Alligator mississippiensis: one gene and its partners. The protein of the gene in region 4 interacts with the protein of the main gene of each other region in a biochemical or structural test. Links are inferred from orthologs where the notes say so. Each region holds a gene or a part of one and is shown on either strand. Other genes may lie near its edges.

Region 1 (7,698 bases), on a different chromosome or scaffold from region 4:
GGGAGTCATCTGACTCAGGAGGAGGGCTGGGTTTACAGCAGGTATAAGCCCAGGCCCTGAGAGAATCCAGCAGTAAATTTGGAGCCTGTTGAGAAAACGCCACCTCCACAGGCAGGTTGCAGCTCCAGAAGGTCAGCTTGGAGAGTACAGAAGCAGTCTGGAGGTTTGGGGAGGAACTAAGGGGAGGAGGAGGTTCTTAGAGACCCAGGGAGGGGTCTGGAGCCCAGAGCAAGAATGAGGGTCCAGGAACTCCAGAGGAGGGATAAGTGAAGAAGATATCAGTCAGGATGCATCTGTGAGGCATGGGGCATGGTATAGGGAAGGAATGAGCCATGCAATTAGCCCATACAGCAGTGACCACAGGCACCTGGGCTTCTTGCAGACATTAAAAAAGAAAAAAAAAATGTGCTTTACTGGAAGAGGAAGCACATTACTTCAAACTGGATCTGCAGCATCTGCATAGATCAGGCATTTCAGCAGGGTTTTTTGGCACTTTTAGCTAAAGCTTTTAATTAGCTATTAAATTAAAGCCCCACTAAAGCACCCGATCTCTACAGTTGTCAGGCAAGCTGGGTCTAACTGATGTGCTGCCTCTTGTGGGCATGTGCTGGGCTCAGCATGAGAACATGGCATGTTTAAAGTACCTTTTTTTTTTTAACATCTGCAAGCAGCTCTGGTGGTCATTTGAAAGAGCAATTTGGGAAGTCCTAGGCAGCCTCTCTCATAAAAGTATATGATATTAAGACATGACGGACAACTGAAGGGTGACTGCCCAGAAAGTAAGGGCCGCATCCAGGGGCTTCACGGCCACCTCTGGAAGTTCACCCTGCCACTTCAACATCAGTGAATCTCAGACTGCTGTCAGGTTGTTTTAAGGGTGATGCAGGATGCCATGCAATATTAGCACTGTTAGGCATGCACATGATTCCCAAGATAGACCCAGTAGGCATTTATACACATGCTCTGGGAGGCGGGGGGTGGGGGTGCTTTAATTACAGCTGCTCTAATTAAAGCATCAGGAGCAACATGTGTATCAGCATCCCTACGCTGAAAAATGGCAGCAGGGACACTTTGACTAAAGCTTATCAAATGAGCTTTAGTTAAAGCACCCCCAACTGTCATTTATCAACACAGGGATGCTGATACACGTGACACTGGATTCTGCTGGAGCATGGTAGTTACCCCATTCCAGCACAGGTACTATGGATTATGATGTGCTGTAATTAGTGTGTCAGAGCAGCCTCAATGTACGTGGATAGGTGCCCAGTGATTTCAAACAGGAATCCATAGTACCTACTGAAAACACTCTGACCCGTTGTGGTCTTTCTGAGCCCCTTGTAACAAAAGACTTGCTCCATTGTTTTCCCATTGTAAAAAAAAAAAAGAGCAGAAGCTAAGAGCTATCACTTTCACAGGGGTCCCAAGGGCTAACAAGGGGTGCCTTAGGTCTAAAAAAGGTTGATAATCATTGGTTTAGATATGCTAGAGTACAATCTAATCATGTAATAAAGTGTATTATAAAAAATAAAACCTTAAAAGTGAGATCAAACCAGTGGTAGAAAGTTTAACAATTGCCAAAGTTGAGGAAATAGAGACAAGCAGGATGTGAAATCCCTCCAACTTTTTCAATATGTTGTTCTGGTACATTAAAAAGATTTATACATTTACATTCACTACGAATGACCTTAGTGAAACTAACTTGCCTACAATTAAGTGCTCATATTTGCAGGAGTGTAAGCCTACATTTTTACATAATAAGACTGCAGTCTAAAGGAGGGCTTTTGGACATTGCCATCCGACAAGTGTTTACTCCTTATATAGTCTAAAATTCTGTTATTAAGCCTCCCCAGTCCTTCAAAAAGGGGACTCAAGACTTGGTATTTCAGAATGAAGGAAACCCACAGATGGCTGAAACCTTTCTTTCTTTTCATGTTGCTTTGTTGGATCTAATCTAATACCTGCTTAAGCCAAAAGGACATCTTCTAAACAGTTGAAGCACATTGTGTGAGGCTTTACAGAATGGTAATTTATGATCAAAATATAATAATGTATTTTTTAATTAATGTTGCCAATTATCTTTTTAGAGTTAAATGTAAAAATGAAAACTAATTATGGAAAACACTTTTTTCCCCCCAAAAGCTGAATTTGTTTGATTTGACTGTAAATATTAAATCACATACATTGTGTTCTTAGTACTATATGATAATAGGTTAGTGCTAGGAGAAGCTTTGCTTTTAATTACTGTTGGCTATAAGATTATTTGGGACCTCTAGAAAGGGAAAATGTTACTTATCAGGTATTTTCTAGAACAGAACGTTTTTGTTTATATTTAAAGTAGACTTGCTTATGCTTAATTGTCAATATTTGCTGTATATAGTGAATTCCAGAGACCTGTGAGAGAAGTCTCTAGCATTTCTTTTTCTTTTCCCCAGGAAAACAAATATAAATTAAAAAAGAGAAAAAAAGAATACTGTTATATACACCTTGAACTGTACCCACAAGCAAACAAAAAGCCAGTCCAGAGATTTGAGCACAGATGTTGTGTACTTGTAATAGCTCGTTCCACTTGCAAACTGAGCAGCTGCATTCTGCACTAGCAGAAGCTTTGATTTTTATTTATTACATTTGATGGGAGCAATCAATTAACACAATTATTGCAAAAAAGCTTCATTACAAACACAGGGCCCAATTCTGGACTCTCTACTGATGGCAGCCATCCCAGGATCTTCAGTGGAAGTGCTTCTCTAGGGACTATTAATGAAAGTAAAGATTACTGGATCCACCCCTGGGTCATCTTCATCCTAAAAGCTATCAGCTGGAGAATTACATCCTTTTCAATGTACTATTCACTAGTATTGTGAGAGTTATTTTTGGAAGTTATTATTAAAAAGTGTGTTTTTCATTATCTTCATGGTTATTTAGTGATGTTCAACTGTTTCTTTCCCTCACCTTTTCCTAGGGGTTTGCTAAAAATACATTGGGTTAGCTACGTTAACTAAAAATACACACTTAGTACCATTACATTATTCACCTGAGGCTCTGAAGCATGATCTACTGTACATCTCCTGTCCCCTGTCTCTCTGGTCACCACTGGCCCTGCCCAGGCCTTGGGAGTCACCTGGGTGCCAGAGACAGATTTTTGCCATATGATTTGACATTTGTCATAATCGCGCCAAACAGCAACTTGAGAAGAAAACATTTTTGCGCCATGCTTTTGCACAGTACGATCGAGTGCATGCCCTGTGGATACCCTGGCCCTCTGATGCAATGTGAATGGCCGACAAAAAACAACATCGTGCCACAACGGCGCCGACCTGACGCATTACGAAGCTCAGGAGCAAACCCTCTGGAGGGGACATCTCCTCCTTCACATGGGCTTTTCCCAAGGCCTGGAGGCTCTATCAGTGACCGCTGACCTCCACAGAAAGACCTGCCAATCCCACACAACCCTGTGGCAAGTACAGTCCCCAACACTCTCTCAATACGTCTTTCACAGGCACATGAAACTAAACCAGCAGTGCTCAAACACCTTGGCCTACGGGCCACATCTGACCCTTTGGAAGCCCCAGTGAATGATGCCATCTCTCTCCCACTGCCCAACCTCTGGCCCCGTGGGGAGCACGGTGGCAGGAGGCAGAACCTGCCGGGCGCACCACACAGTCAGGCAGGCAGGCAACGTACCACGCTGTTCTTCATCATGGCCTTGACGGTGAAGCCGTCGCTGACCTGTGGCTTGGCTTTCTTGGCAGGCCGCAGTGGCAGCTGCTGTTGTGGGGGGAGGTGCCATGCTGGCTTCAGGGCACAGGCGCCCTGCTGCTCCACCACCATCTTGCCCCGCACCTTCCTAAAAGAAATAAAAGGAAAGTAGGGATGAGAAAGGAACCAGGGGCAAGGGTTACATTTATTGCATTTGGAATAAATCTAAGAAAATTTACATTAAATGAACAAAACAGGGATCAGAAACATGTCAGCCAGATGCAAAAAGAAGTCAGCCCTCCCCCCCCCCATGGGATGTCCCTCCCACCCCACCCCAGAATGGGATGCTTCCCCCCGCCCCACAATTGGATGCTTTCCACCCTCTCCCTGCCACCCCCACAATGGGATGTCCCTCCCCTACGCCCCACAATGGGATGCTCCCCCCGCCTCACCCCGCGGGGGCTCGCGGCAGGGGCGGCTGCGCGCGGGGTGGACGCTATAACCGAGTCAGTCGCCAGCGCGCGCGCGCTTCTAGGGACGCGTTCCGGTTGCTAGGCAACGCGTCAACAACCTGTCGGCTGGCCGCGCCCGGTCACGTGCGGCAGCCGAGGGAAAGGGGGAGGAGTAGAGGTGTCAATTTGCGTCGATCACGTGATCCCACGTGAGAACTACGCTCCCCAGCGTAGGTTGCGCCCCTCCCTTTCCCAACCGCCCGCTGAAGCAGCTACGGCACCAGCAGCGACTTCGCTGCGCAGGCGTAGTGTGACTCAGCGGCCGGCAGGGCGCAGGGCGAGGCTTTGCGCAGCGCGGCTCCTCCCCCCCCACCCCTCACTGCGCCGGGGCTATGATCGGTGAGTGAGTGAGACCCGGATGTAGCGCCCCCTTTTTTTTCCTCCCGCCCCGTCCCCAGCGGCCACCATGACGCAGCGCGCGGCGGAGCTTGTGACGTACCCCCCCCTCCGTCATGCACAGAACACGCCCCTCCACTGGCCCTCAGTGTGCCCCTCCCCCCGCAGGCCTTTGGGGCCACGTGGGCCCCTGTTTGTGCTTACCCCTGGCCCTGAGTCACGAGGGTGTCAGTCCTCGCACCCTGGCTCCCTGAAGCAGGTGGCCTGTGCCATGGTCCTTGGCCACGAGAGAGGAAGGGGTTGGCTGGGCAAGGGGAAGTGTGAGATGCCCCAGCCTTTACTTACAGCCCAAGCCAGAGGCAAAGGCCTCAGGGTTCCCAACCCTCCAGGATTTCCTTGGAGTCTCCAGGAATTAGATACAAATCTTCAGGAGACTGCTATGAGCACCCCCCACCCTGGAGATCAGTGATAGGGGTCTCATTCAAATAAATAGGAAATGTTGAGTCTGATTTATGCAGTAGTCCAGAAGGTCTTTCATATGTAGCAGTATCGTGCATTGGCCTTCCTGGCCTGAAGTCTACACACTGTAAACCGTAACTGATGCATGCAGGCATGTTTGTGCTGTGTGTCGTTATGTCATGGGATGAAACCTCTCAGAAGAGATTCAAACAGAGTTGGCAACCTTAGACGGTCCCGATATCTTTCTCTTGACCCTGGGGCCAAGTTGTGAAGGCCCAAACTTCTCCCTCATCCTTTTTTTTTTTTTTTTTAATTATTTCCGGGTTAACCTCTTCCAACCACAGTGCTGGCATGGTCTCTTCTAGTTAACTGCCTCCAGCTTTGCTGCAGTGCATCATTATAAATACTGGTGGCAGCCATTGGGGCCATCTTATCTTCCCTTGCTCTGGTGTTACCCAGGGTTCAAATTACATCAAATTTGATTCTTCCAGGGGTTTGCAAAAGCAATTGGGCTACCCACAGTGCCATATTAACGCATAGGCAAACCAGGCACATGCCTAGGGCCTTAAGTGAAGAAGGGGACCAGTTGTGCTTATTTACATATTATAATTACTGACTGAAAAAAAGTAGGGGCCCATGAATTTGTTTGCCTAGGGCCCACTAAAGGGTTAATCCAGCCCTGGCTGCTCATCACTATGCTCTAATAAAATTGGAGACTCCCCCCAGGTTATGATTTTCAAATCTTACAGGGGAGCTCTCATCTCTTATGCAGGGGACTCAGCCCTACTGAGCTCCCCAGTAATTCAAACCTTGGTGTTACCCTTCCTGGCAGCAGAACTAAAGCGGGGCAGTTGTGTGATCTGGGTAAGGTGCTGTGCTGGTCATCCTTGAGGACCCTGTTCTACATTCAAATTAAAACTGGATAGAAACCAGTTATATTGTGGTTTCCTGTTCTCAAATGCTAACTTTGTAGCTGGTTGTCTCTCTTTAAAGCAGGGTAGTTATTTTTATTGTGTGATTGTTACTTGCCGCATGTAGCTGGTCTAAATTTATTGCAGGATTAACTTGTTAATTGTATTACTTTGCATGTGTGGCCTGTCTAAATTTATGTTGGGTAATTGTGTAATATCTGTAAGTTATAGTGGGCGCCTGAGTTAGCAATGTGCAGCCTTCTGATAGCACGACCATTCAGTTGTTTCACTGGCTATAATTTCGTTTGGAAAGAAGAGACAATTTATCTTCAGTATTTCCCTTCCATCATTGTAGGGCTCCACCAAACACAAAAGCCACCTCTTCCCTTACTACGTCTCTTTCCCCCCTGCGTCTCTCTTTTAATTTCATTTTTGTAATTTGTTAATTATTCACAGACAAGACCAAAGGAGCAGAAAGTGGGATGCTAAATGAATTTAATACTAAATAAAATAAATTATTTTCCTCCACCCACAGATTTTAAATGCTTTTCTCTGCCCTTCATATTGGGTGTTTGTCCACTTTCTGAGAACTGATCAGTTTTGTGATTGTTGGACACATTGCCCAGGCAGCAACAGTAATAATCCAAGAATTCGGTAATGGAATTGACTCAAAGGATTTTGGACACTATAAACTTCATGGCTTTTACCCTTAGAAATGTTCATTCCTTTTTAACAGTAATGTTCTGGTAAAAACATGTACTGTAGTGGTATTCTTTAAAACTAAATTCTTCCCAACCCTGTCAAAAAAGCACAAGTTTGATCATGTGGTTTTCCATCTCTGAATATTCATGGAAATAAGTCTCTTCATAGCTCTATACAGTCCATACCTGGCCTTTTGTCTGCACGTAGTTTTCTGATACAGTAGAGAATATGCAAAAGTCTTGATTTCAGGGAAAATATTGTAGTATCCACATGTACTTATATCTTGATAAAATATATGAAGGGCAGGTTTCTTGTTTACAGGAATACATTTTATTTATTTTTCTCTAATTCCTGTAAAAAAAATTAGTATGTTACAATTTAAAAAGGTGTAAGTATCTCACATTTCTGAAGAAAGGCTCAGGAGTTAGTTGCTTGAGGTTGTGTTAGGGTTAATCTACCAAGTTCTTTATTGTTACTTAGTTATTTTGCATTCATAGGATATGACTTTAAAAGAATGAAAAATATAAATTGATCAGAAAAAATCTCAAAACAATTGTTATATCCCAACTGTATATTGGTTTGTAAGGCTGTGCGAAACGGCACCGTTCCATTTTGGCTTGAGTTTCAAGGTTTCAACAGAACAGCATTTTGTTTTGAATTTCATTTCAATTTGAAACCGCTGTTCTGTTCTGTTTTGTTTTGTCAAAACAGTGTCACTGTTTCGACGCTGTTTCGCCATTTTGCCCATACAATATAATGGGGAAGCTTAAAACAGCCTCTCTCATCCAGCAGGCAGATGGGGGCCCGCAACCGTGGGAGGGCTGCAGGGACTGTGCCGGTCCTACCGGGGCTGCAGGCCCCTGACCTGCCTGCCAGATAAGGGAGGGAAGCCGGGTGCTGCTGCTTGGGACTGGGGAGCTGGGGAAGGGAACTGAGCCCGATCACTCAGTTCCCCTCCCCAGCACTATGATCAGGCTGGGGAAAGGAACTCAGCCCAGCTGAGCTGAATTCCCCTCTCCAGCACTAGGATTGGGCTCCCTTCCCCAGCCACATGGGGCTGCAGAGCCGCTGGGAGCACAGCC
Region 2 (7,776 bases), on a different chromosome or scaffold from region 4:
CCTTTCAAATACAGGGCACTTCTGCATTTAAAAAAAAAATCTCACTTTCATCATTACAGCTGTAGTTTATATAGTTTGAGGAGCCTTATCATACCACTGATTAATCTACTGTTTAATATTTGGCACATAAGCAAATAATGTGGATGGTATTTGGTTTCTCCATAGCTAATATTAAATTGGAACAAGCACATCACAGGATGACAACCACAGACTTGCAGCAGGATACTGAATCAGTATTACTACATGACCCTAAAAAAAGGTTTATTGAACCAAAAAGACAGAAGCAATAATCTTGGCTGAATGCCAGAGACACAAAAATGGACAAGAATCCTGGAAGCTTTCAGCAGAAGTCAAACAGCAATAGAAGACTGAGAAAGATAAAATATTGGTAAGATTAATTTTGGGTTTGGGGTTTGTTTTTTTTAAGCCTCTCTATAAGTACTGAATTAAGTTTACTTATCCCCAAACAGATAAGCAATCCATTAGTAATAAGTTGTCATTCAAATGAACAATTAAATGCTCTCCTTTCCCTTACCCCTCTTCTGACATACTTCTCTGCTTAAGCTCATATTAGGTCAAAAGTTTATGGTACTATGCAAGCCTGAACACCAAAAATGTTTTTTGAACTCATGCCCATTCAACTGGCAAAACTTGTTGAAAACTGAGGACTAATTTGGAACCAAAAACACATATAAACATCAGTAAAGACAGCACAAGTCATTTAAGCATTGATCCTTTAAGTCATTCTGTACTAGGGGGTGTCCACTGTGCTCCTATAAAAAGCATCCCACTTAAAGAAGTGGGAAAGAAGTGCAACGCAATATCAGGCCCCAGTGATTACCTGCACGTACAAAGGAGCTACAGGTTCTATTACCCCTTAGTAACATCTATCCTTTGGTTGTATGGACTTCACAGCTTCACCACAGAAGGCTAGGTGACCAGGGACAAGACTCCAATGGCTTTGCAGAGGCAGTAAGACCAAGAAATTAATGGAGAATGAGGCACAGGAGCAAGTGATGTTGAACTGTTAGCCTAGAAAGTTTCACAAGAAAGTATTCTCAACCTACTCCTCACTGGCACCAGCATTTTTCAGTGTTTTACTGATCTACTTGGGGTACAGTTGGCTGAGACTGTCAACACCAGGTCAGACTGCAAAAGAATCACAGCTGGCAAGTTACCAATTATGCATTTTAGCTACTTTCACTCAAGGAAGGCTGATCTCTTAATGGCTGGTAGAACTATTAAAATGTTGATTTACAACTAAATATAGCCCCTGCTAAGTACTATTTTTGTTGCTAATCAAGAAGCTATATTCCATATCTATATTTGTGTAAGTAATAAACTTAGCATACACATATTTGCCTTATTCTTCACCTTTTTAATAAACATGAGAATATTGTGCACATTTTCTATACAAACTATTGACTACTAGCTTCTGTCAGGCTACACGAGTGGAAACTGTAGTTTAATTTAATAATGTAAGATGCATTTAAAATGCAAATTTATGTAACAGTGTACTGAGTTAATATAAAAAAGGTTATCAAAGCATTTATATTTAAAGAAAGAGTATATCTATGGCTGTTAAACAAAACCAATTGTTCCTCCCAGTCCACTGCCCTTCAAGATTTTACCAGTAGATCTCAGCTCTCTCTCAAGCTTTCCTATTTTGTCCAAGTCCTCATTGATACCAAACTTGAATAAACTAGTCGCTGAACTACAATAATTGAGCAAACTGAGATAAAGAATTATTTTCTCTACAGGCAGAAGGTACAAAACATATATATTGCTTCTAACCAACTCTTTTTCCAGGTACTTATTCAGTGACTTTGAATGTTCCTTAAAGAAAGCCAAACCACAGAACTGGTTGGCAGCAAATATCCAATACTCAATTACTTTTCATTTACAGTATTTGATCAGAGGACAGTAAGTTAGTCAATTTAATTCAAAATTGGCAAAGTTTTGTTTTACAACGTGAAGTGCTCAAAGTCCAATTTAAGTACCAAAATATCCTCTTTACAAGAGGATGATTTTTTTTTTTTTTAAATCTGCCTTGTTCAGCACGGAAATGGCAGATATTACACAGCAAGATTTACTCTGTGAGCACATCTATATAAAAAAAAGCAACAGTGCCTAGTTCTGTTTTCTGATTCTAGAGGCTGCTATCAATTCCTGAGCACTGCTATGCGCTCCATCATCCTAAATCGCCTGGCATACACAGAAGTAAAATGAAAAAAGAAACACTGGAATGACAGCACACAATCATTTCTAAGCATCGCTTTACTGTAAACACTTAACCCTACAGAAGCCCATCTCTGCAGGGGCCATTTGAAACCAGTGGTTTAATTCTTGTCATCATTGTGTAGCAAGAAGCTGACACAAGGCAGCAAGATGCATCTGGTTTGTAAATAGTGACTCATCAGCACTAAAATATTACCATCTTGTCTGAAGACAGTAGAATAAATAGCCCTCCCGACTGGAGCTTTTAGTGTCACCAAAATCCCTGCCACCTTCATCAAAATGTTATTCCTGCAAACCTTGGACAACGCGAGCATTTCCGGTGCAGTGGGGAGGGGAGGGGAGGGGAGGGGAGGGGGGCCCAACACCACTTACAGGAACACGGGACCTTCTCAAGGAAAAACAACAGCTGAGAGCAGGTCCGAATCCTGCTGCTCCCCCCTGAACCTGCCGCTAACGGCGGCCCCTGCCCTGCCTTCATGCCAACGCAGCTTCCCGGCACCTCCACAGGAGACGGGAAGCCACGTTTTGTCCACAGCCCCTTCTGTTGCCACGGCCGGTTGCAAGGGAGCCATGTCAGGCAGGGGCGGTGGAGCCGCAGCACTCGCGCTCGCGGCAGAGCTCCTAGGGCAGCGTGGGGAGGGGGCCGCGCGCTGCCATGACCCCACCGCCTCCACCCCCCGCGTGGCCCAAGCATCAAGCCGGGCCGGGGAGGGGGTGGGGAAGGGGGACGGGGAGGGGTCTCCTCCAGGCCCAGCGCTGTTTGGTCGCAGGCGGGAAGCGCCCCCCGGCCCCGCGCACCTGGATGACCTCGTTGACCTCGCGGATGCACTCCACCATGTGCTGCAGGATCTGCTCAGCCGTCAACACCTCGTAGCGGTAATCCTCGTCCTGCTCGTGGCCGCCGCCGCCGGGGCCCGGCCCACCGCCCAGCCCGCTGCCGCCGCCGCCGCCGCCGGGGCCCAGCCCGCCCGTCTCGCCGCCCAGCAGCCCGTCGCGCTCGCCGCCCACGCCCAGGCCCGGCTCCACCAGCTCCACCTCGCCCAGGTCCAGGTTATCGTCGTCGGGCTCGTCGTCCTCGTCCTCGTCGTCCTCGTCCTCCTCGGCGCCGCTGTCCTCGCTGCACTCCTCGTCCTCGTCGAACTCGTAGTTGTAGCCCTCGTCCGAGTCCATGGCGGGCGGCGGCTGGGCCCGGCCCCGGCCCCGGATAAGCCCCGCGCCGCTCGGCTCCGGCTCGGCCTCGGCCCCGGCCTGGGCCCCGCCCGCGCTGCCGCCCCGCGCAGGCCGCCCGCCCCGCCCGCCCGCGCCGCGCGGGACAACGAGGCGCCGCTGCCGCCGCTGAGCCAACAAAGGGACGCGGCGGCCCCGCTCCGTCACCGCGCGCTGCGCACGCCACGCACGCCGCGCTGCGTGCCCTGCGTGCCCTGCGTCCCCGCCCCCCACGCCGGGCTCGGCTCGGGACCGCCATCTTGGGTGTGGCCAAACAAAAACAATCCCTCGCCGGCCGCCATGTTGAGTGTGGCGGTGGAGCCTTTGGTGGAGCGAACGCTCGCCTGCTTTTCCTCCGCACTCTCCGGCGCCATCTTGGGGGGGTCGCTGCCCTGACGCTTGGCAGTGGATCCGCCATATTGAGTGTGGCGGCCCGTTCCTATCCCCACCCCCACCCCAGCCGTATGTCCGTTTTAAGTGTGAAATTTGTGAAGTTTCTTTGTTGAGATGTATATTTTTGGTACTTTAATAACAAAAAAAAACAAAACAAAAAGTCTGGCTGGGCTGGGCTGGGCTGCAGCCTAGTGTTTGGTCTAGGCGGTGCCCAGTCTGGAGGGCACCAGGCAGCTCCTGGCAGCTTGAGGCTGTCGATGCCCCTGGTGTGCGGGGCCCAGCAACCACCCGAACCAGTCCTGACGCTGTGGCGCCCGTGCAGGGTCGCTCCCATGGGAAGACGCCGAAGGCCCCGAACACGGGGCAGCACAGGACAAACAGGAGCGACAGGCGCAGCTGGGGTCACCGCTTGTCCCGAATTGGGCAGGACAGTCGCAAAATATGAACATTGAATCCTGGGCCCGGACTGCGTAGCTCTGGGGCAGCGTTTGTCCCAGGTTCCCCTGGACACAATCGCTACTGTCCCAGGATCTAGTAGTGCCAGCTCTGGTGGAGTCTGTCTGGGGAGGTTTCCAGAACGCCAGCGCGCCAGCCGCTCAACACGGACATGCCAGCACGCCCGCCGCTCAACACGGACATGCCAGCGCGCCCGCCGCTCAACACGGACATGCCAGCACGCCCGCCGCTCAACACGGACATGCCAGCACGCCCGCCGCTCAACACAGACATGCCAATGTGCCTGCTGCTCAATACAGACATGGCAGCGTGCCTGCCGCTCAACACGGACATGCCAGTGCGCCCGCCACTCAATACGGACATGCCTGCGTGCCCGCCGCTCAACACGGACATGCCAGCGCACCCGCCGCTCAACACGGACGTGCCAGCACGCCCGCCGCTCAACACGAACGTGCCAGCGTGCCCGCCGCTCAACATGGACGTGCCAGCGCGCTTGCCACTCAACATGGACGTGCCAGCGCGCCCGCCACTCAACACGGACATCCCAATGTGCCTGCTGCTCAACACAGACATGCCTGTGCGCCCACTGTTCAACACGGACATGTCAGTGCGCCCGCCGCTCAACACGGACATGCCAGCACGCCCGCCGCTCAACACGGACATGCCAGCGCACCCGCCGCTCAACACGGACGTGCCAGCACGCCCGCCGCTCAACACGAACGTGCCAGCGTGCCCGCCGCTCAACATGGACGTGCCAGCGCGCCTGCCACTCAACATGGACGTGCCAGCGCGCCCGCCACTCAACACGGACATGCCAATGTGCCTGCTGCTCAACACAGACATGCCTGTGCGCCCACTGTTCAACACGGACATGTCAGTGCGCCCGCCGCTCAACACGGACATGCCAGCACGCCCGCCGCTCAACACGGATATGCCAGTGCGCCCGCCGCTCAACATGGACGTGCCAGCATGCCCGCTGCTCAACACAGACATGCCAATGTGCCTGCTGCTCAATAGAGACATGCCTGTGCACCCACTGTTCAACACGGACATGTCAGCACGCCTGCCACTCAATACAGACATGCCTGTGTGCCTGCCACTCAATACGGACATGCCAGCGCACCTGCCGCATAACACGGACATGCCAGTGCACCTGCTGCTCAACACGGACATGCCAGTGTGCCCACCACACAACATGGACATGCCTGAGCGCCCACTGCTCAACACAGACATTCCTGTGCACCTGCCACACAACGAGGACATGCCAGTGCGCCCATGACACAACACGTGTTGGCTACAAATGTCCAACTCGGGATCCTTCAAATTCTAGTTTATTAGGCGGATTGAAACACTGTAATGAGTTAAATCATAAACCTTGGGGCTAGTCCCCACACACACACACATGCACACACATACACACACACACAGTAGCAGGCTACAGAGTCAGTTATACCTATCCCACAGGTGCTGGTGTCTGTCATTGAGGCTTCTTTCAGCACGGTGTTATCTTCCAGAAGGGGGTCGCCAGCTGGTCCTTCTGGCTGGACAGGTCTGGTCGAGTTGGAGATCGAGATCAAGAGGGCGCCACTGAGGGTCACTTTTCACTCCCTTTTATCTGTCCTTGGCAGACTTTGGTGACTCCCCAGTTTTCAGATTTGCCCAATCCAGGTGTCGTTGACCCTCGTGGGACTTCCCCCCTCGGTGGCTACTTGACGGCATCTGTCAGCCCCAGGGTCGTCTGCATGTACATGCAGGTTTGGGAGTCCTTTGATGAATTTTGAATAGGGCTCTGGGAGTGGTCGATTTGGAGATATTCAGCCCAAAAGTTGGTCCCCGGTGTTGATTAACTCAGGCCAGGGCTTCTAGCCCTTGATCAGCCACGTTTAGAGATTTCCCGGTTGTTACATTGTCTTCTATTGAGTTCTTCCCTTGGTTGATCTGCAGCTTCCAGGTGATAATTGCTGTGTGCTACCTTGTTACACATTCAATCACTGATTCACTCTCTCTTTCAGGGGCCAGCCTGATACAGGGAAGGGCAGTTTGATTCCTGCCCTTGTTAACATTGTTACAATGTATAACTTACTAAAACACATTTAGTTGAAAGTTGAAAGGTGAGGAGTATAAAATATAAGCTACAAATGCCATGGCACACAAATAAATAAAAATACCAAACTACAAGGGGAGATACAAAATGCGCACACACAAATTTTAAAACACAATTCCTTATCTTAAAGTGAAAGAGAGAGGAAGGAAGAAAAGGTAGAAAAAGAGAAACATATCCAAAGAGGGGAGAGCAAATGCAAGCAAGAGGAAAAGGGGGCTTTCTGCTACACACGGACATGCCTGCGCACCCACCACACAACACGGACATGCCTGCACGCCCGCCACTCAACACAGACATGCCTGTGTGCTTACGTATATCAGTTATGATTGGCAATGTGTAGGGGGTGCACGCAGGTGCACACCCCCTGAGATTGGCGGTGCACCCCCCCCACAGAAGTGCCGCTGGTCCTTCCAGCGGCGCCCACAGGCAGTCACTGCTCACCACCCTCCCCTCTTGCAGCCAACAACACTGGCGGCATGTGCAGGCAGTCGCCAATTGCCACTGGCTGCCCTTGACACTGCAGTGTCTACAGTTGGTCATTGACTGCTGGTCAGCACTCATCACCCCTGCCACCGACATCACCGTGGCCACCTGCAGGAGCTTTCCGCCACCACACCCCCCACTGCCGCTGCCTGTGGCCATTTGCTGTGCACCCCCAGCCTCCAGGGGCATGCGTCATTCATGCCAGTTATGGATTACAGTGTATAGACTTTACATCAGGAAGGCAAATACACAAGACTTGCATTTTAAAAACCCACTGGACTACTGTATAAATCAGATTCAACATTTAAAATTTATTCTAATGAATGCCCTATCATTTAATCACCTAGGTGACTCTCAGCAGTCTCCTGGAGATTTATATCTAATTCCTGGAGACTCCAGGTCAATCCTGGAGGGTTGGCAACCCAACCAGTATCACATGCAGGGATCCGGGTTTTCTGTTCCCTGCAAGGAAACAGCAGGTTTCCCCTGCAGGTGGGCAGCGTTCCAGCCTCCAAGGAGCTGCTTGGGGCTGGGGGAGCAGGACGCTCAGCTGCACTTTCCCCCTGTCTGCTCCAGTCAGTCCCGAGTGTTACACCACTCCACTGCTGCTTCTGCTGGTTGGTGCAGACCTGGCCGGGCTTGCCCCATCCCCAGCAGCACGTGGGAAGCTGGCTTCAACCGCATGCTGCTCCAGATGGGATGGACCCGGCCGGGTCTGCACCGGCCAGGAAAGGCGGCATGCAGCTGAAGTCGGCTCCTCATGTGCTGCTGGGGATGTGAGGAGCCTGGCGGGGTCTGCACCAGCCAGCAAAAGCAGTGGCGGAGCCATGTGCTGCTTGGGACTGACCGGTGCAGGCAGGGGGAAAGTGCAGCTGAGCCCCTGCTGCTCCAGCTGG
Region 3 (7,798 bases), on a different chromosome or scaffold from region 4:
TATCAAGAAAGCGAGCTAGCACCTCAGAGTTAGATCACAGAAGAATAAAGCTGGAAGGGCCCTCATGTAGTCCAACCCTCTGCTCAGAGGAGAAGCACTTCTAAAACCATCCCAGCCCAGAACAGGCTATACAGATACTTAACCACCCTTAGAGTCAGAAAGTTCTTCCTAATCTCCACCTCAAATGTTCCGTGTGTGCATTCAAGTTGCAACATTACAGATGCAGTTTCCTTCTGGTATGCTTAAGACCATCAACAATTATAAGCCTGCTTTCCAGGAGCCTATATTTTATTATTGTAGGTCATGAGCCAGAAAGTTGTGCCTGTAAAACATCTAGTACATAGCAAAAAGGTTCCCTGCCCCAAACAGCTTCAGATGTCTGTATGGGTGTGATGTGATGTCTACCCATCGTTATGCACAATGGCACTCCACACCCATCCACCTCACCTTGATGAGCAAATACAAAGAAAAATTGGTCAGCAATGTAGGCTTCTGGCATGTTCGGGCCATTGCCTAATCACTGCTCTTTGGAGGCATGATAACGAAAGGAGTCTTAAGGAAGTATTTAAAGGAGAACAATGAAGCAGCTTTGCTGGAGCTTACAGGATATCCTCAAGGGACTCTGGAAGAATTGTTTTAAACAAGTGGACAGAAGCAAGCTGCCTCTTCACGTCTCCATGTTGCACCCTCCTGTTATCTCACTCCGCTTTGCTGTCTTTATGCAAGTTTTATCAGGCTGCACATGAAAGGGGGAACACATCTAAGGAAAAAGGTGGTCTTTAATCCCTGATGCTCAGGTCTTTAGGATTAGGAAAGCATTAAGCAATTGTAAGCAACAAAGGTAGCACCTTTCCCCCACTCAGGACTTTCCAAGGGCTAGACCAGGGGTGGACACTAGTGGCACAGGCAGCCCATGTGCATGGCATATGATAGATCAGGGAGGGAACAGAAAGCAGAGCAGCAGGTCAGGCAGGAGAAGGAGATCAGAACTGCACTTGGGGAGGGAGGGCATGGAGCTTTGTATGTAGCACACCAGCCACATCCCTGCTAGTCTAGACAAAGATGGCATCACTAACACACAACTAACCCCAGAGGGCAAGCTCAGCAGTTAGGGGGACAACCAGCATGTGGCGCCACCAGGAGGTATAGGAGAAGTTGGCTTTGGACACAAATGATCCTCCCTTATTAGCACCTGCACAGACACTGACCACAAAACCGTGATTTAAAGCCTCAGCTGATGCTTAACTAAGTTCTGAAGGCTTGAGGCATCTCTGACAGCAAGCTGTTCAGCTGACAGAAAGAAGAGCTTTTATACAGAAGGGAACAGAGGGAAGAAACAGCTGCCAAGAGACTTAGTAATAAGTGGTTCGATTAGATCAATTTAAGATGAACAAGGCAGTTAACTGCATTTTAATTCACCCAGTCAATCTACTTCTTACCTCTCTTAGCAGCAGCTCCTCTCCTTGCTCCCTTCTATATAAAACCCTTGCTTTCTGGCACTGCATTCATAGCACCTGACACAGTACGTTGGTGCCTATAACGGGTCGTGCCTCTGAATCAGTTGGTTTCGTGCTACTCCGCACCATCTTCTGCCTGACTTCAGACTAACGTGATTAGCTATCCGAGAGCGTGCAGCATTAGCCTGGACTTTTAAAACTTTAAGTTTGCCCATTACAGACATCAAGCAAACAAGAGGATGCCACTTGTTCATTCCCAAGCTTTTATTTGCGATTAAAGCAATCTAACCTGAGTCCGTAGATTCTGACGAGGCCATTCTTTGTAGGTTGTTACCGTTCTTCATTTCCAGCATCTGCTCAGAGTTTTCAAATTGGCTACAAAGATCCCAAAATAAGTGAGTTATTTTATTGAATGGTTTTCATTAAGAAAAAGGAGAGACGACAAATAAACCGCGTGCAATTTACAAGATAAACCCAAGCTTCAAGTAGGGATCAGAAAACATGTCGACCCGTTGCGAGCTTTTCGAGTTCTTTGCAACAGAAAAATTGCTCTGGTATCATTTCACGAGCGACGTGAGGGAGAGCAGGGAGCCGGTGTTTTTTGAGGAGGGCCTCGAGTCTAATGCGGGGACACCCATTAGATTTGGAGGACCTCAAGTCTAAAAAGCATTGAGAACCGCTGGTTTAATGAACGACGTGGTCACGGCTCCAGGACCCAGCAGTCTTGAATAGTCGCTGTAAGGACAGCGTACTTAGTGGCTCCATCACACTCCCCGCCACTGGCCTGGACCCCGTGCCGCTCAGGAAATAAACCCCCGCGTGTTCTCACGTGTATTTCCACAGAGGCACTGCTCGTGCGAAAACCCACCAAGCTCTACAACCACGAACGGGGGCTCACAACCGCCGCGACTGAAAGCGCGCTCTTTGCTTTCCGGCTTTGGAGCGTCTCGGGTCCCCACCTGCGCCTTCCCAAGCGAGAATCAGACACTTTCTAAAGAGAATCTCAGTTTTCCTTCCGCCCGTCTCGGCCCTACCAGAACGGTGCAGATTAAGTCAAAATCGGCACGGTTCGAAATCCTGGAAGACGACGACGCTCCCTGCAACGGGTGCGATCGCTGGAATCGATTTTGGGACGAGACCCGTGAGAAAGTCGGATGGTGGCCGGCGGCCAAACCCAGCCACTCGCCTCGGTTTAGGGGAGACCAGGGGATGTGGGGGTCACCTCAGGGGTGGGGGGGAAGGGCAGGCCTGTGTAAAGGGGGGTTTGAGGGGTGGGGGAAGGGCAGGCCTGTGTAAAGGGGGGTTTGAGGGGTGGGGGAAGGGCAGGCTTGTGTAAGGGGGGTTCTGAGGGGTCTCACCTTCGTCCGAGGCGGCCCAGGGCGAAGCCGAGGCCGGTGACCGGGGAGAGCTCTGCGGGGAACAGGGCCTTGACGGCGGCGGCGGGGGGCTCCATGGCGGCGGGCGCGCTGAGCGCAGCTGTCAGCGCAGGGGAGCTTTGACCCCCCGCGGCCCCCGTCCCTGAGCGCAGCCGGCGCGCGCGCGCTCTCCCGCTCCGCCGCCCCCCCGCTCCGAAGCTGGCGCCAAAGCGCGCCGACCAATCAGCAGCGGCGGCACCCAATTTCAGCCCGCCCACCTGGCGCCAGTCTCGTTTCCCTTTCTCGCCCGGCCCAGCTGTCGCGCTGAGCGACGGAAAGAGTGACCAATAGCACGCGGCGCTTCGCCTTGCCGGCAGCCAATCCCCCCAAGCCTGTCCCTGAGAGGTTAACAGGCCTCCTCAGTGCTGACCAATAGAACAGACAAGGAGGCTCGTGTGCGGCCAATGGAAACGAGCCTAGCCCTGTCTCCTCCCTCGCCCAGGGTTGTTTGACAGCAGACCCGACCACTAAGCTTGCTCGATGGGCTCGTCGGCGGCTTTTCTCGTGAGCAAGCCAACAGCATGCAACCCCATGCTGGCGCAAGCGCCAACAAGACTGGAAGTCCCAGCATGCAATGCTCCTCTTGGCCCAAAGGGGAAGCTGGGCCGCCGGGCGCATTGCATGCTGGGACTTGTAGTCCGCAAGTCCCTTCACCCAGCTTCATTGTGGGGCATGAGGCTGCTCTAGAGACCCAGCTTGGCCCCCAGGTCCTGGTCCAGCCTCACACAGCCATGAGGTGCACACATGGCAGCCATTCCCGCAGTGTCCAGGCCGGCCTCGCTAGCTTAGGACGAGCCTCTCGGTGCTCCGTGCTTTCCTGTCAAGCCCCAGCTCCTGGAGGCATGGGATGAAGACAGCAAACCACCCTAGCTGCCTCGCATCTCTGCTGCCAGGCACCTTGCTGCCCCGCGGGGTGGTGGGGATGAGCGACACCCTACAACGTGTCGTGGGAAACACGGCGCCCTGTCGCTGCAATGCCAGGGAAGGACTGGGCTAGTGTTTGCTCACGATCAGAGAAAAGGCCAGCCAGCCATGCTCCGTGGGAAAGCAAAACCCCCTTGCAGCCTTTGACAGTTTGACTCGAGGAAAACTTATTTCCTGACCCCAGATTTGGAGATTGGCGCGGCCCCCGAGAGGATGAGCATTCAGGACCTTCCATCTAGGAGCATCTGGGCTTCCTATATAGGGGCCAGTCAGCATCGCCAGCCGTAGCTGTGACCCGCACCCAGCGCATCAGAGGAAGACGAAACAAAAGAAAACCAGAATCCTGTAATAGGGAGAAGAATTCCTTCCTGGCCCTATTGGTGCCCAACACAAGCCCCAAACCATTACATTATCACTATACACGACAGAAGAAAAGTTTATACCCCGATTTGGGGATGGAAAAGATGTACTTTATTTCACAAATCACACATACTGATGACAAAGCCAACCACCCCCCAACCCATGATCCCCACCCTTCCCTCCCTTCCACATCCTTCCTGTCATTTCTGATCCAAGTGAGAGCTTTGCAAGATCAACGAGGGTCGTCTGCTTTGGATGCGGCACCGCTTTTGTGTGAAGGCTTTGGTAAAAGGTGGCTGATAGCTCAAAATAAAAAGGCGTTGCACAAAATGTCAGTTCCAGGCGGCCGCGGCGGGGAGCGTCACGGGTTTCATTACCAATGTTGTGTGTGTACGTGTGTGTGCACAGTGTAGAGAAAGACCACTGCACATCCTTGTGTCACTGAGCGGGATGTTTAGGTCAATGCTGCAGATAGGTCTTGAGTGTTAGAAGACAGCAATCACACAACTGACAGCAATTACACAAAGACACCAATCACACCCTCAATGACACGGCCCCTTGTGTATTCCACTGGTTAGGACCGTGGGATTGGGAAATGCTGCTCCGACCCCTCGGCTCCAGTAATGCTGTAGATCAGCGGTACGCGTACCACCACAACCTGTCAGTGTACGCATTCACTGATTTATTACAACTACTTTATATGACAAAACTTTCCTGGCGGTACTTAAGGTTGAACTGAAAAATGTGCTAGTGGCACGTAAGGTTGTATCATTTTAAACTGGTGGTGCGCAACCCGTCAGAGTTTGGGAACCGTTGCTGTAGATGAAAGGATCAGTGCGAACATGAATGGAAAGCAATGGGGCGGCACTCTTGGGACTCTTCCGCACTGGGGTTCAATGGGGCTCCATTCAGCCAAAAAGTCACCTTAGTGTAGGATTAGACCTTAAATTTATCTCTTATTTTGTTTTTCTAGATGTTTTTTTTAACCGAAGAAATGCTGGGGTTAGTTAGCCTTGTATTCCTAGAGAACTAGAATAAGCACCTGGCAGGGGTTTCTTCAGTTTGCATTTGAAAGGTTATGATTGAGGTGGGTGAATCATTCATCCCTAAACCTTTTTCTCCCTATTGTTTTCCAGGTGTTTGACTTAAACAGGCGCTAAGTAACACTTCTTTATCATGCAGAGCTGCGATCCCAATATACAAGGTTGGAGGGTAATGGATAGATGGCCCCTGTGCCAAGGGAGGCTCAGCAATCTTGACCACGCTCCAAATGTCCCTTGGGACACTATCCCAACCCCGGGCAGAAACCTCCTTGGAGAAGTGGTTCCCAAACTGCAGTTTAAAATGATACAGCATTAAGTACCACCAGCAATTTTTTCAGCTTGGCCTGAAGTACAACCATTAATTTTTTGTCATATAATTCTAATAAATCTGCCAACGTGTACCACTGGTGGTACCCGCACCACAGACACTGACTTAGAGTATGATTTGAGGCCGTTCTGGCTGAGCCAGAGAGCAGCTCATGATCCCTAATCCATGCATTGTGTACGCGTGGACAAGGGGAGCCCGGCTATTGCTTTCATGTGACACCACTTATCTATCAGCAATGAACAGCTAAAAGAAAAGCAGCAACATGCAAAAAGCAAAGCTTGGGGCTAACAGAGAAACCCCAAAAGAATCCAAATAGTCTGATTAAGCCTTTCTTCCCCTCTCAGCTGCTCAGTTTTCAGGCTTTTGTCTCATAGTAACCCTACTAGTAATGCAGTCCTCTATTGTGAAAATAATGTTCCATGGCTTTCTTATGCATCCAAAGGGGAAAAAAAGCCAAAAGCTCATTTCCCCCCCTTTGCAGATCATATTTAACTCATTGGCTCTTTAGCATCTTCCAGTTGGCGAGAGTCACCAGGCGCCTGCAGCTCACCGCTCTGGTTTATTTTTTGTAGTTCCCCCCGCACCCCCAGGTCTGGTTTACTTGTTCTCTCTCGTTAGCCATCAGAACGAGCAGTCCACCGAGCATCCTTGCACAGCGGCGTGCTGCGGCACGCTTTCACCTGCCTGCGAGAAGAGCTGCCGAGCGGAAAGGAAGCGCGGTCCCTGGCAGAGGTGCTGTGTGCGGCTCTGTAGCCTCCCTGCTCATGCGAGACATGTGCAGGCCTCCAAGAGAGGAAAATGCATTTGTGCATTTCTCAGCCTCCTCCCTGAACTGTCACAACATCTGGGTTCAATTCCCTCCCTTCTTGATAATTCCTTTCCCCCCCTTCCAGTACCGTTATCACATGAACACGCATGCGTGTCTTTAAAAGGTGAAAAGGAAGGTGCTACACAGGGACAGCATCCCCCAAGCCAAAGCTTTAGGATGGGCCGTTTCCTCCTGCGATGGCAGCTTGCCTGGGACCGGTTTCACATGGCTGCAGGAAGAGGCGTGGAAGTGGTCTGTGAATGCATCTGGAATAAGAGACTTCTCCCAAGTGACCAGGATTTGCCAGAGCTGCTAATGTTGGGTTGGTGGCCGTTCCCTGCAGGTCTGACTCAGTCTCCCAGGGGCATTGATATGCTGCCATCGCTCTGCCAAGGGCTTTCCACCAAAATGCTCCCTGGTGACAGCCCCTAGATCCCAGGAGCAGAGGGATGAGAGGCTAGAGAAACAGGCGTTTGCTTTCCAGCTGAAATTAAAAGCTTGTCTTAGCACCGAAACGGAGGAGGACGGCAGCAGAATTTCCGATGGTAAAATCCAAATTTCTGGAGCAGGAAGCCAGAGCCTGCAAGGTTCCCGGGGACCTTCCCCATACCTGCCGCTAGATGGTACTTTAACATGAAATACCCATACGGAAATCTCGATGCATCACAGCTGCACCGACTGGCGCCCAACCCCTTGGCGGATGTCGCAGACCCATGTCATTGCAAGGACACAGGAACACTTAGCTTGATTTGCTCAAAAGCTTTTGAGGAAGAAACCAGCCTATGAACACCGTTTACTATTGGTTACTGCTTCAAGCCAGTAGGAAAGCACAAACAAGGAAGGAGAGGGCGGTCAAAATTGCTACGAATTTGGGGTCTAGGAAAGATGCCGCATCGGCTGCCCCAGAGATGAACAATCTTAATTCAAGTCACGATTCAAGCCAGCAACCAAACCCCAGGTCTTCGAGCCACCAGGCTCCTCTCAGAATGGCGTTCCTATTCAGTATTTATGCCCCAAACTTCCTCCCATGCTTCTTTTACTGAAGCCACCTGTGTCTCAGGTGGCTTTTCCTCCTTCCTGTGCCCCTGCAGAGTGCTATGATGCCCTCCCCTTACCCATTCAAACGTGGAGTATGGAGCGCTCTCGAGGGGCTTCGCAGCACTGGGTGGGGATGATCCAGGGGTAGGCAGGGAGTTTGTGTGGTTTGTTGTGAAACAGATGCAGAGCATCCCCGAGTGTGCAATCCTATAGACCCCGTCTCTCTGGCTCCGATGAAGCGTCCAGGACTACTTCTGCAAGATGCTCTGAGAACAGTGATACCCTTTAGGGACGCAGCCGGAGCTGGGAGTTGGGCGACCAGAGCCAAAAGTAAGGGAAGATTTTCTCGTGGAAAGTGGCAGTGAATTGGTAGATTTGCACCATGTTCTCTGCGTTGTAGAAGGTCACCTGCCCCTCTTCGTAGT
Region 4 (8,305 bases):
GAACAGGCAGAAAAGGGGACGGAGGGGGGTGCCCCACCCCCAATGCAGTTACCCCCATACCCAGTCCCATGCCACCCCCTGCCCCTGGAGCTGATCCACCCAAGGTCCACCTCATAGCTAAGTGGCTGCTAGGTCCGTGTCACGCAGCACTCTGCTGCCAAAAGAAAGCAGAAGGCCCAGACACAGCTCAGACCCTCCGATACCCCCTCCAGCTCACCAAGAGTGGGCAGAACTGAAAGAAAGCCTGCTTGCCCCTTGAGCTTCACCAGACACCCCACCCCTGGGAAAATTAAGAGTTGCCCCCATGGAAGAGGATCTGGGACAGCCAGACTGTCCCAGAGAGGAGCCCTGGGAGGAAACCATCACTCCGTTGACCACGACCCGCCCCCCAACAATGCAAGTGCCGAAGCAGAGGCCTCGATCACCCTGGGGTGGGTCGGGAGGCACAGCTCTCCCTTTCCGAACATATACAGGAGGTAGGAGCCCTGGGGCTCATCTTGACGAGCCCTGATGGGGAAAAGCCCCTTCCCAAAGGCTCCAGCGAGGGCACCGAAGCCACAACAGTACCTGACAAATGTCCTTCAGCACTCCCACAAAAACTCCCAGAAACCATCCCTGGCCCACACAGTGGTCCCAACACAGAGGGGTTCAAAGCAGGGTCCCCCAACAAGCAGAACAGGGACCCTGCACAGACCGTGCTCTGTTCTGCCCTTCCAAGTCCTGAGCTGACCCCACCCCTGCCCCAAAGGGCTGCATTGCTCCCTCCGCTGAAGTCCGGGGAAGCAGTGGACCAGGTGATTCAGATGGTTTCACCAGGCTTCTGCCCCCACTGGGCTGGAGGAAGAGGAAACAGCTGCCCCTCCAAGCAATCAGTTGGAGCCTGTTGAACCACAGAGCCTTGAAGAGGACAACTGGGAGTCCATGGACCATTTGGCCCTGGCGGTCCCCAGGGAGAAGCTGCTCCATTTCCTGGAGAAAGAGAGTGCGCTGTGTTCCCTGAACATGGTGCATCTCGCTCTGGACTGCTTAGGGACTTCCACTGCATCCTCAACACTGTGAGGACACTACTGGGGAAGGCAAGGGGCCAAAATGGTGCAACACCAGGACCTACACATGGGCCCACAGCTTTCAGAACACCCTTTACATCTCTGGGAGGGTGGCAGGGTTGCGAGGCCCCTGCTGAGCCAGCCGACACCCCCCAGCAATAGGTCATTCAAGATCATGACTATTGATGTCCACATCTGCAGGACAGGTCTCCACAGGTGCCAAATACTCTCCTTCCTTTGGGAAGGGTGGGTCCTCTGTGCTCTTCCTTCATGAGACTCACACGACTCCGGCCGCAAAGCCAGCTGGCAGCTGGAGTGGGGAAACAGGGTGTACATCAGCCACCTCACAGAGACATCATGTGGGGTGGCAACTCTGTTCTCCCTGAACCTGCAGCCAGAGATCCTCCAGGGTGCTGAGGAGGTGATGGGCCACCTGCTCCATCTCCGGGTCCAGGCACAGGGGTTTGTTCTGAACTTGCCGAACATCTTACGCCTCTATGCGCCACTCAGAGATGGCCTGATTCCACCTACTGTGCCACCCTCAACCCACACAAATGCCTGGTCTTCACCAAGGACTTCATAATGTCTCCCTCAAAGTGCAGGACTGAACAGGCGGGAGCAGAGCCAGGCCACCGCTGGGGTCCTCTCAGACCACTGCAGATGTCTGGTGTGCCTGCCACCCTAATGACACTACCACCTTCACCTTCGTGAGGGTGGAGAAGGATCAGGTGCACCAGTCCTAGCTGAACCAAACGTACGTCTCATTGCCAAACACTACCCAAATCTATGCCTTTGGCATTAGGCCAGCCTCCTTCAGCAAACACTACCTCATCTACCCTGGGGTCTCGCTGCAGCCTGAGTATCCAGGGCCAGCACTTTAACAACAGCCTGGTGGAGGACATGGATTTGGTGGCAGCCTTCCAGTTCTGGCTTGTCATGAGCTGCAGCCAGCTTTCCCCTTGACTTGGAGATGGCAGGATGTGGGGAAGGTGCATGTCCAGCTCTTTTGCCACAGCTACACCTGGAGGCACACCCGACAGAGGGAAGTGGCCAAGGAACAGCTTGAGAGGGAGATGCTTGGCCACTGACTTTGACAACATGTCCCTCTGCAGTGTTGGGAGAAGCAGGAGGAGCTCCAAGCTCTGGATGATTGTCATGGTCTGCCTGCGAATCCAGCTCCTTCGGGAGATGGGCTGCGGTTTGTACTTCTACGCCCTGGAGAAGAGGGGTACCAAGAAGCACATCGCCTGCAGGGAGGTTTGATATCCCCCAGCACTCGAACCCTAAACCCACTTTTGGAACCGTGTGCACACCTACAACTTGTCTCCTACAACCATACAATCACTCTGGGGAGACCTAGAAGAATTTAGCCAACAGACTAGCTACATTTTCCAGAGATCAACATGAAAACAGCTCCATTGAACATCAAACCAGTGGGGGATATCAAATCGGTCCTCTTCTGAATTGCCCATCAGTACCAACTCTTGATGCTCATGCTCCACCCAATCCATCATCCTGTCTTTGTGTCCCAGCCTGGCAACAAGTGGCAGGACACCCTAGGTGAGGTGGTGGCAAGACACCCTAGGTCCCCAGTGGCCAAGTCTCTATTCCACCAGGATCCCATGAGCTGCTGGGAACCTCAGCTGGCAGATCCTCCATGAAGCCATCGGGCATGTATCTGGCTTGCTTTACAGACACTCCCATCACCTACACCTTTTGCCAATAGAGGGAGACCCCGGCACATGTCTACCTCGAGTGCACCAGGTTGCAACCCCTCTTCTGCCTCCTTCAGAACCTCCTGCTGAGGTAGTGGCTGTACTTCTCCCTGCACCTTTTTTGTTATACCCTTCCCATCCCTGGCCCCACCAATCCCTGGGGTCTCCTGGTCAACCTCTTCCTGGCTCTGGCCAAGGTGGCCATCTACAAGACCAGGAAGGAGGCTCTGGCCAGGGGAAACCAGGGCAAGTGTAGGGCTGTCTTGCCACCACTCCTCCATTCAAGTCTCCAAGCAGAGTTTCACTGGTTGGCATCCACAGGCTCCCTCAACTGATTCAGGGGCAGTGGGTCCTGGCCAGTTTGCTCTACTCAGTGTCCCCTTCCAGATCCCTTATTTTGAACCTGTGACCTCACTCCCTTCCCTGCTTTTTTTTTTTTTTTTGTCCCAAGAAATTGGGATTCATTGATTTTTGGGTCAGAAGGGACCCAAACCACTGCTCTGGGAATGAAATTCAGAGGCTGCTTTCCTCACTCCACAGCTAGCAATGCCTTTTTCCTCCAAGCCAGGCAGCGGAAACACCATGTGTCTGGGTCCGTGAAGGCAGTTTTCCTTAAGCGTTCCCAGGGATCACTGCTGGTGTGGTTCAGTACCCGCTGAGGTGTTGGGGCTTAAAGCCCACTTTAAGGAAGTGGGAGGCTCCTCCCTTGCTTGCTCCTGCGGCCAAACGGCTGAGGTCAGGCAAAACTTGGGGGCATACAAACACTGAGTCCCCGGGTTTGGGCCAGCACGTAGTATGCCTGTCAGAAGACTTGAAATATCTAAAGCCCCTGGTGGGGGTGGAGGATGTCTGCCAGTTGTAGGGCCACTTATGGCTCTGGACTGACTCAGGATTTGAACTTGATTTGGCTGATTTGGCTTGGAACACAAAGTTTCTTTTAAAAAAAAAAAAATCCAAGCCCTTCTTGCATCTGGTCTGACCGGCAGTACCCAGCCACAACAACCTCCATGCTTTAATTTTCTTGGGATTTCCCAGTTGGTTTAATAAAAGGTATCATTTTGGAACCAAGAGTTCTAGTTTTTTGTATCAGGTATCCAGGTTGTAACCATATTGGTCTAGAGGAAAAGGCAATCAGGACTCATAGTAGTGATGATATCTTTTCTTAGACTAACAAGATTTTTGCAAAAAAAATTCTTTAATTGCAAGCTTTCAGGCAGCGTTCCCTCTAAGCCGCATGGCGTGTGACCGCACTGCCAGGCCAAGCATGCCACACAGTTTAGAGGGAACGCTGCTTTCAGGCACAAACACCCTTCATCAGGCGTTGGAGAAAAGATTGTAAAAGTCCTCCTGGGTAGACATGAAAATTGATCTTTTGTAGGCTTTCACAGAGGAATCAACACATGGAAAACTGCCTGTCTTCTTGTCCCACACCAACACAGCTACCAAGTACCCCCCCCCGGCCCAGGGAAGATGCTGAATTCTAGCCGATTTGGGATTTTAAACTTCAGTGCAGAACAACAGGAAAGGTTTTTTACCTACCTGCCTGCCAGCCTACGCCTCCAGGGGAGGAATCCCACCTGGTCTACAGCTCAGACACCCTGCTGGGCCTGGAGGGAGCCTCCCATCCCCAGCTCCCCTGTGCAAGATAGAAGTTTATTTCCTCCCTATGGGGACTTTTTACCATCTTGCACCCTCTCTACTTCTGTTGCCAGGCTGCACCCTCTCTACTTTCCCCCGAGCCTGACGAAGGGGCTCGGATCCCGAAAGCTTGCCGAAAAGGAGCATTTCCTGGCGCTTTCCCAGAGAAAGCTGCCCTTTTTGGATGGTCTGGTTTTTTTTCCTCTGTCTCTGGCATGGGAAAGACCTCCCCGGTGCGAGCGCGGAGCCCCCCGATCCCGGTCCTTCTCCCTTGGCCGAGGCCGAGGCCGGGCCCGGCTCACCTGGCAGCGCCCCGACGTGCAGCATCCCCAGCACCGCCGGCTGCAGGCGGCCGACAAGCTCCGAGAGGCGCATCCGACCCGGCCCGGCTCGGCCGCCGCCTTCCGCCCGAGGCCGCCGGCGCCTCCCCCGGCCCGCCCCGTCCAGGCCCGCCGGGCCGGCCGCTGCCCCCGCGCGGGCCACGTGTGCGGGAGGCGGCCCCGCGCCAGGCGTTTAAATGTCCCGCTCGGCAGAGCCCGCGCCCTGCGCACGGGCGGGAGCGGCGGCGGCGCCGTGAGGCTGCCCGCGCCGAGCTCCCGCCCTGCCCTGCCCTGCCCTGCCCTGCCCTGCCCGGCTCATCCCATCCCATCCCATCCCATCCCGGCCGGCCGGCCGCCCGCACGTGCGGGGTCTTTGTGCGGCGCCCAGCGCCATGCGCCGCGAGAGGTGAGTCCGCCCGCGGGCCGGGAGCGGGGCTGGGCCCAGGCCTGGGCCTCCCCGCGCGCCGCCCTGCCTCTCACCGCCTCTCTCGGCAGTGCCGGCTCGGGGGAGAAGGTCCCCGCCAAGGCCCAGGCTGCTGCCGACGCTGCCATGCGAGCCCGGAAGAGGAAAGCCGACGTGGGCACGGTGAGTGCAGGCTGGGGCAGGTGAAGCGGGGCTCCTGGCTCCTGGGGCCCTGCTTGGCCAGGTGCGGTGTCCCTCACCCCTTAGCATGCGCTTGTCTTCTTTCCCCCCTTCCTTTCTCTTCTAGTTTTTGCAGGATCCCGATGATGAAATGGCCAAAGTGGAAACAGGCAAGAAAAAGCAGTGCGGCAACCAGGTAACCGACTCGGCTCGGGATTCGGGGGGAGTAAGGCCGCTGTGATGTTTTTCCTTGTTTCGGCAAGGTGATGCCCATGGCAGCACCGACTGGTCCTGCTCCCACCCGGGCCACTTACAAAAATACACACAAAATGGGGAAAACTCCTTATAATTTTACACGCTGTTTTCTTAGATCCTTTGCTGCCACGGAATAGATGAGACCCGTGTCGGTCAAACCAAAGTAGGGTTACCAGACGTCCTGGGTTTGTACGCTTTTTTTTTTTAATGTCTAAAGGTCTGATCTTGCATTGAGCTCTGCACGGGTGCACAAAGGTCCTTCATCTCTGTACAAATGTGCATGGCGGGATTGGAGACTTGAAGACAGATGTCGCACGTAACTGTCGATAAGCGTGGATCTGACTGGAATCGCCCTTTTCAGATGTGAATTTACGGGGGGGAAGGGTATGCTTTCATCATCCCTGCCCCCATTTGTTCTCACCTTAGCAAGCACTGTTGTCAAAATGCCAGAAATTAAAAGGTGCAGAGTTAAAATTTGGAAATCCACATGCTCTACACCAATGCATGTATAATGCAGGGGGGGAAGTGCTGCATCTAGAGTTTCTCTAGGTGGGGTAGAGTAGAGTAGTTTCTATTGGAGCACTTGAGGCTCTGAGATAGGGCCAATAGGCAAATGTTAAGAGGGAGATGTCGTCACATAACAGGCATAGTCAGCTTTCTGAAACTCCTCTGTGACTATTAAGGTATCTTAATTTTGAGATTAAAACCCCGGACACTCTAGGCTGCGTGTTTGTTGCAAACTCGGCTTCCACTTTGTTTTTGTTCCACAAACTTGGGGTTCTGTCAGTTGCTGCCCCACACTTTTTATATGTAGTATAAGATATGTGAGAGTTTTTAACGGTCTTTGTGAACTTGGGCACCTTTGGAAATGGATGCAGAATAAATTTGACTGAGGCACAGAGAAATACAATACATAGACCTCATACAGAGCCTCCGTTGTTAGGACTTGAGCCAATTAGTGTGCGCAAAGGGTGATATTTAAGCTGCAAAAGTCATGATTTGGGGAATACAGCCCCTATTCATTCAGTATGTAGGGCTATGCATAATGTGGTACAGCTAACCAGAAGTGGCAGCTGGAAGTTTGAAGACTGAAGCGCTACCATAACAGATGGGCATCATTGTTTGGAATGGCCTCTGCTCGTTGCAACTGTGTATACTAGTTATCAGTCAACATATTAAGTAGGGCTCAAATGGTGAACATTTAATGAGAAGATCTAGTCTTCCCTTCTGTCTCTCTATGCAATATATTAAACTAATTTCTCACTTCTGACAAGGGGGATATTTATCTTCACCACAATTCCTTCTTCCCTAAAGTGGTGTTTTTTGTTTTGGGTTTTTTTTTGTGACTATCTACTAAAATTCTTAATGCGAACTATGATATTTACCATCTTCCCCGAAAAGACAACGGAAAGAAAAACTTGAAACATGTTTAGCAAGGAGGCCTACAATAACTCTCCTCTTAAGTTCCAGAACTAGGTATAGCGTTACGGTGTATATTGGATTCGGTCTATGTTGGAGCGATCTGTGAAACAATTGGCATATGGCAACAGAGCTACAGTCCCAGAGTGTAAATTAAAATATAATTTCTGGTAAAGCCTCATGGCACTGAGGAGAATTAAGTTCTGCAACTCTCTGTTTTATAGATAAAAATGGGTACCTCTTCCCATTTAAAGAAGATTCTTTGTTGTAACAAAGTATCCAGATTGTTGTGGATCTGTAAAATGATGAAGCTAACATTTGGCTGCACAGCAGCAGCTCTTCAGTCTGTGGTGTGACACAAGCTATTCTCTGATATAAATTGCCATGGGCCACTAATGAGAATATGTATGCCATTTCAACAGTAGTATAGCAGGCTTGTGTGATATCCAGAAAGAAAGCAAGATGGTATGTAGCAATGGTATAACTAACTCTAATGTGCTGCACTGGATTTATAGCCTCTTGCAAGTACCACGTGACATTCACATTAAACGGTTAGGCTCTGTTTTGCTCCATGTAAAAGTAGCACTGTCACATCCCACTTATGGCGTGTTCATGCTCAATTCATTAGTTGGTTTCTGTTGAACATAAGGCCCAGGCTTTTAATTAGGAAGCTGTTACCCTTTATGGGATGAAAGGGTTGTTATATCATCAGGCTGGTAGAAGCAGAATTCTGCATTTCATTTTGAAGATAACTGGTACTGTTGTAATTCTCTTAGCATTTCCCAAATGGATCGTGGTCACTAACTTGTGTACAGGTATGTTTCCAGCATTTGTTGTGAAACACAGCTCCTCTAAACAACTATTTATTGTTTTTACATATCTTAATAAAGAATGATTTGGGTGAGTTTAGTAACCCACAGAATCCTTTGATGTAAATCATGTAGCCTACTGAATTTTAGGGCAAGGAATTGAAACTAGAGCTGCTCAGAAACTTTTCAAGGAAACTTCCTTTGGAAAAGGGTAACTACTTGAAGTGGAATAAGACAAACCAGTTTATAACACTTTTGGAAGAGTTAAAGTCAATGAAATATTCTATTTCAACATACCTTCAATACAGGATTCTCTCCAAGTTCTTAATTTAGGATAAAAAGACCAAATATCTTCAGGCTCACAAATCTAAGGTTTTTAAGCTTGTTCTTATTTGGGACAGGAACTCGAAATTATTGGAAAATATAGGACGGAAAGATGATTTCTTATCTAGCTCTGATTGAAACCTTAAGCCCCAGTAGTCCCTTCTCTTTCATCTTCCACTCCTTTCCTTATTTCACC

The links.
Region 1: of the proteins of CCNE1 (region 4) and PRKN, one has a biochemical effect on the other in vitro, tested with the Homo sapiens proteins (2 studies listed by BioGRID). The link is inferred for Alligator mississippiensis from reciprocal best matches to the Homo sapiens genes CCNE1 and PRKN.
Region 2: of the proteins of CCNE1 (region 4) and ARIH1, one has a biochemical effect on the other in vitro, tested with the Homo sapiens proteins (3 studies listed by BioGRID). The link is inferred for Alligator mississippiensis from reciprocal best matches to the Homo sapiens genes CCNE1 and ARIH1.
Region 3: the proteins of CCNE1 (region 4) and CDC25A form a complex in vitro, tested with the Homo sapiens proteins (2 studies listed by BioGRID). The link is inferred for Alligator mississippiensis from reciprocal best matches to the Homo sapiens genes CCNE1 and CDC25A.

What each region holds. Positions count from the first base shown.
Region 1 is NC_081824.1:140,162,060-140,169,757, reverse strand, and holds the start of PRKN (E3 ubiquitin-protein ligase parkin), read left to right. Parts: upstream 1-4,466; 5' UTR 4,467-4,540; coding exon 4,541-4,547; intron 4,548-7,698. Other genes in the region: PACRG (parkin coregulated gene protein), read right to left, coding at 3,032-3,118, 3,682-3,828. UniProt on the Homo sapiens protein: Functions within a multiprotein E3 ubiquitin ligase complex, catalyzing the covalent attachment of ubiquitin moieties onto substrate proteins. Substrates include SYT11 and VDAC1.
Region 2 is NC_081834.1:44,696,726-44,704,501, forward strand, and holds the start of ARIH1 (E3 ubiquitin-protein ligase ARIH1), read right to left. Parts: upstream 3,522-7,776; 5' UTR 3,409-3,521; coding exon 3,037-3,408; intron 1-3,036. UniProt on the Homo sapiens protein: E3 ubiquitin-protein ligase, which catalyzes ubiquitination of target proteins together with ubiquitin-conjugating enzyme E2 UBE2L3.
Region 3 is NC_081828.1:218,037,719-218,045,516, forward strand, and holds the start of CDC25A (M-phase inducer phosphatase 1), read right to left. Parts: upstream 3,406-7,798; coding exon 3,350-3,405; intron 3,137-3,349; coding exon 2,816-3,136; intron 1,833-2,815; coding exon 1,747-1,832; intron 1-1,746. Other genes in the region: E3 ubiquitin-protein ligase TRIM39, read right to left, coding at 7,659-7,798. UniProt on the Homo sapiens protein: Tyrosine protein phosphatase which functions as a dosage-dependent inducer of mitotic progression. Directly dephosphorylates CDK1 and stimulates its kinase activity. Also dephosphorylates CDK2 in complex with cyclin-E, in vitro.
Region 4 is NC_081833.1:57,478,277-57,486,581, forward strand, and holds the start of CCNE1 (G1/S-specific cyclin-E1), read left to right. Parts: upstream 1-5,019; 5' UTR 5,020-5,111; coding exon 5,112-5,125; intron 5,126-5,214; coding exon 5,215-5,305; intron 5,306-5,429; coding exon 5,430-5,498; intron 5,499-8,305. Other genes in the region: uncharacterized protein F13E9.13, mitochondrial, read right to left, coding at 4,702-4,774. UniProt on the Homo sapiens protein: Essential for the control of the cell cycle at the G1/S (start) transition.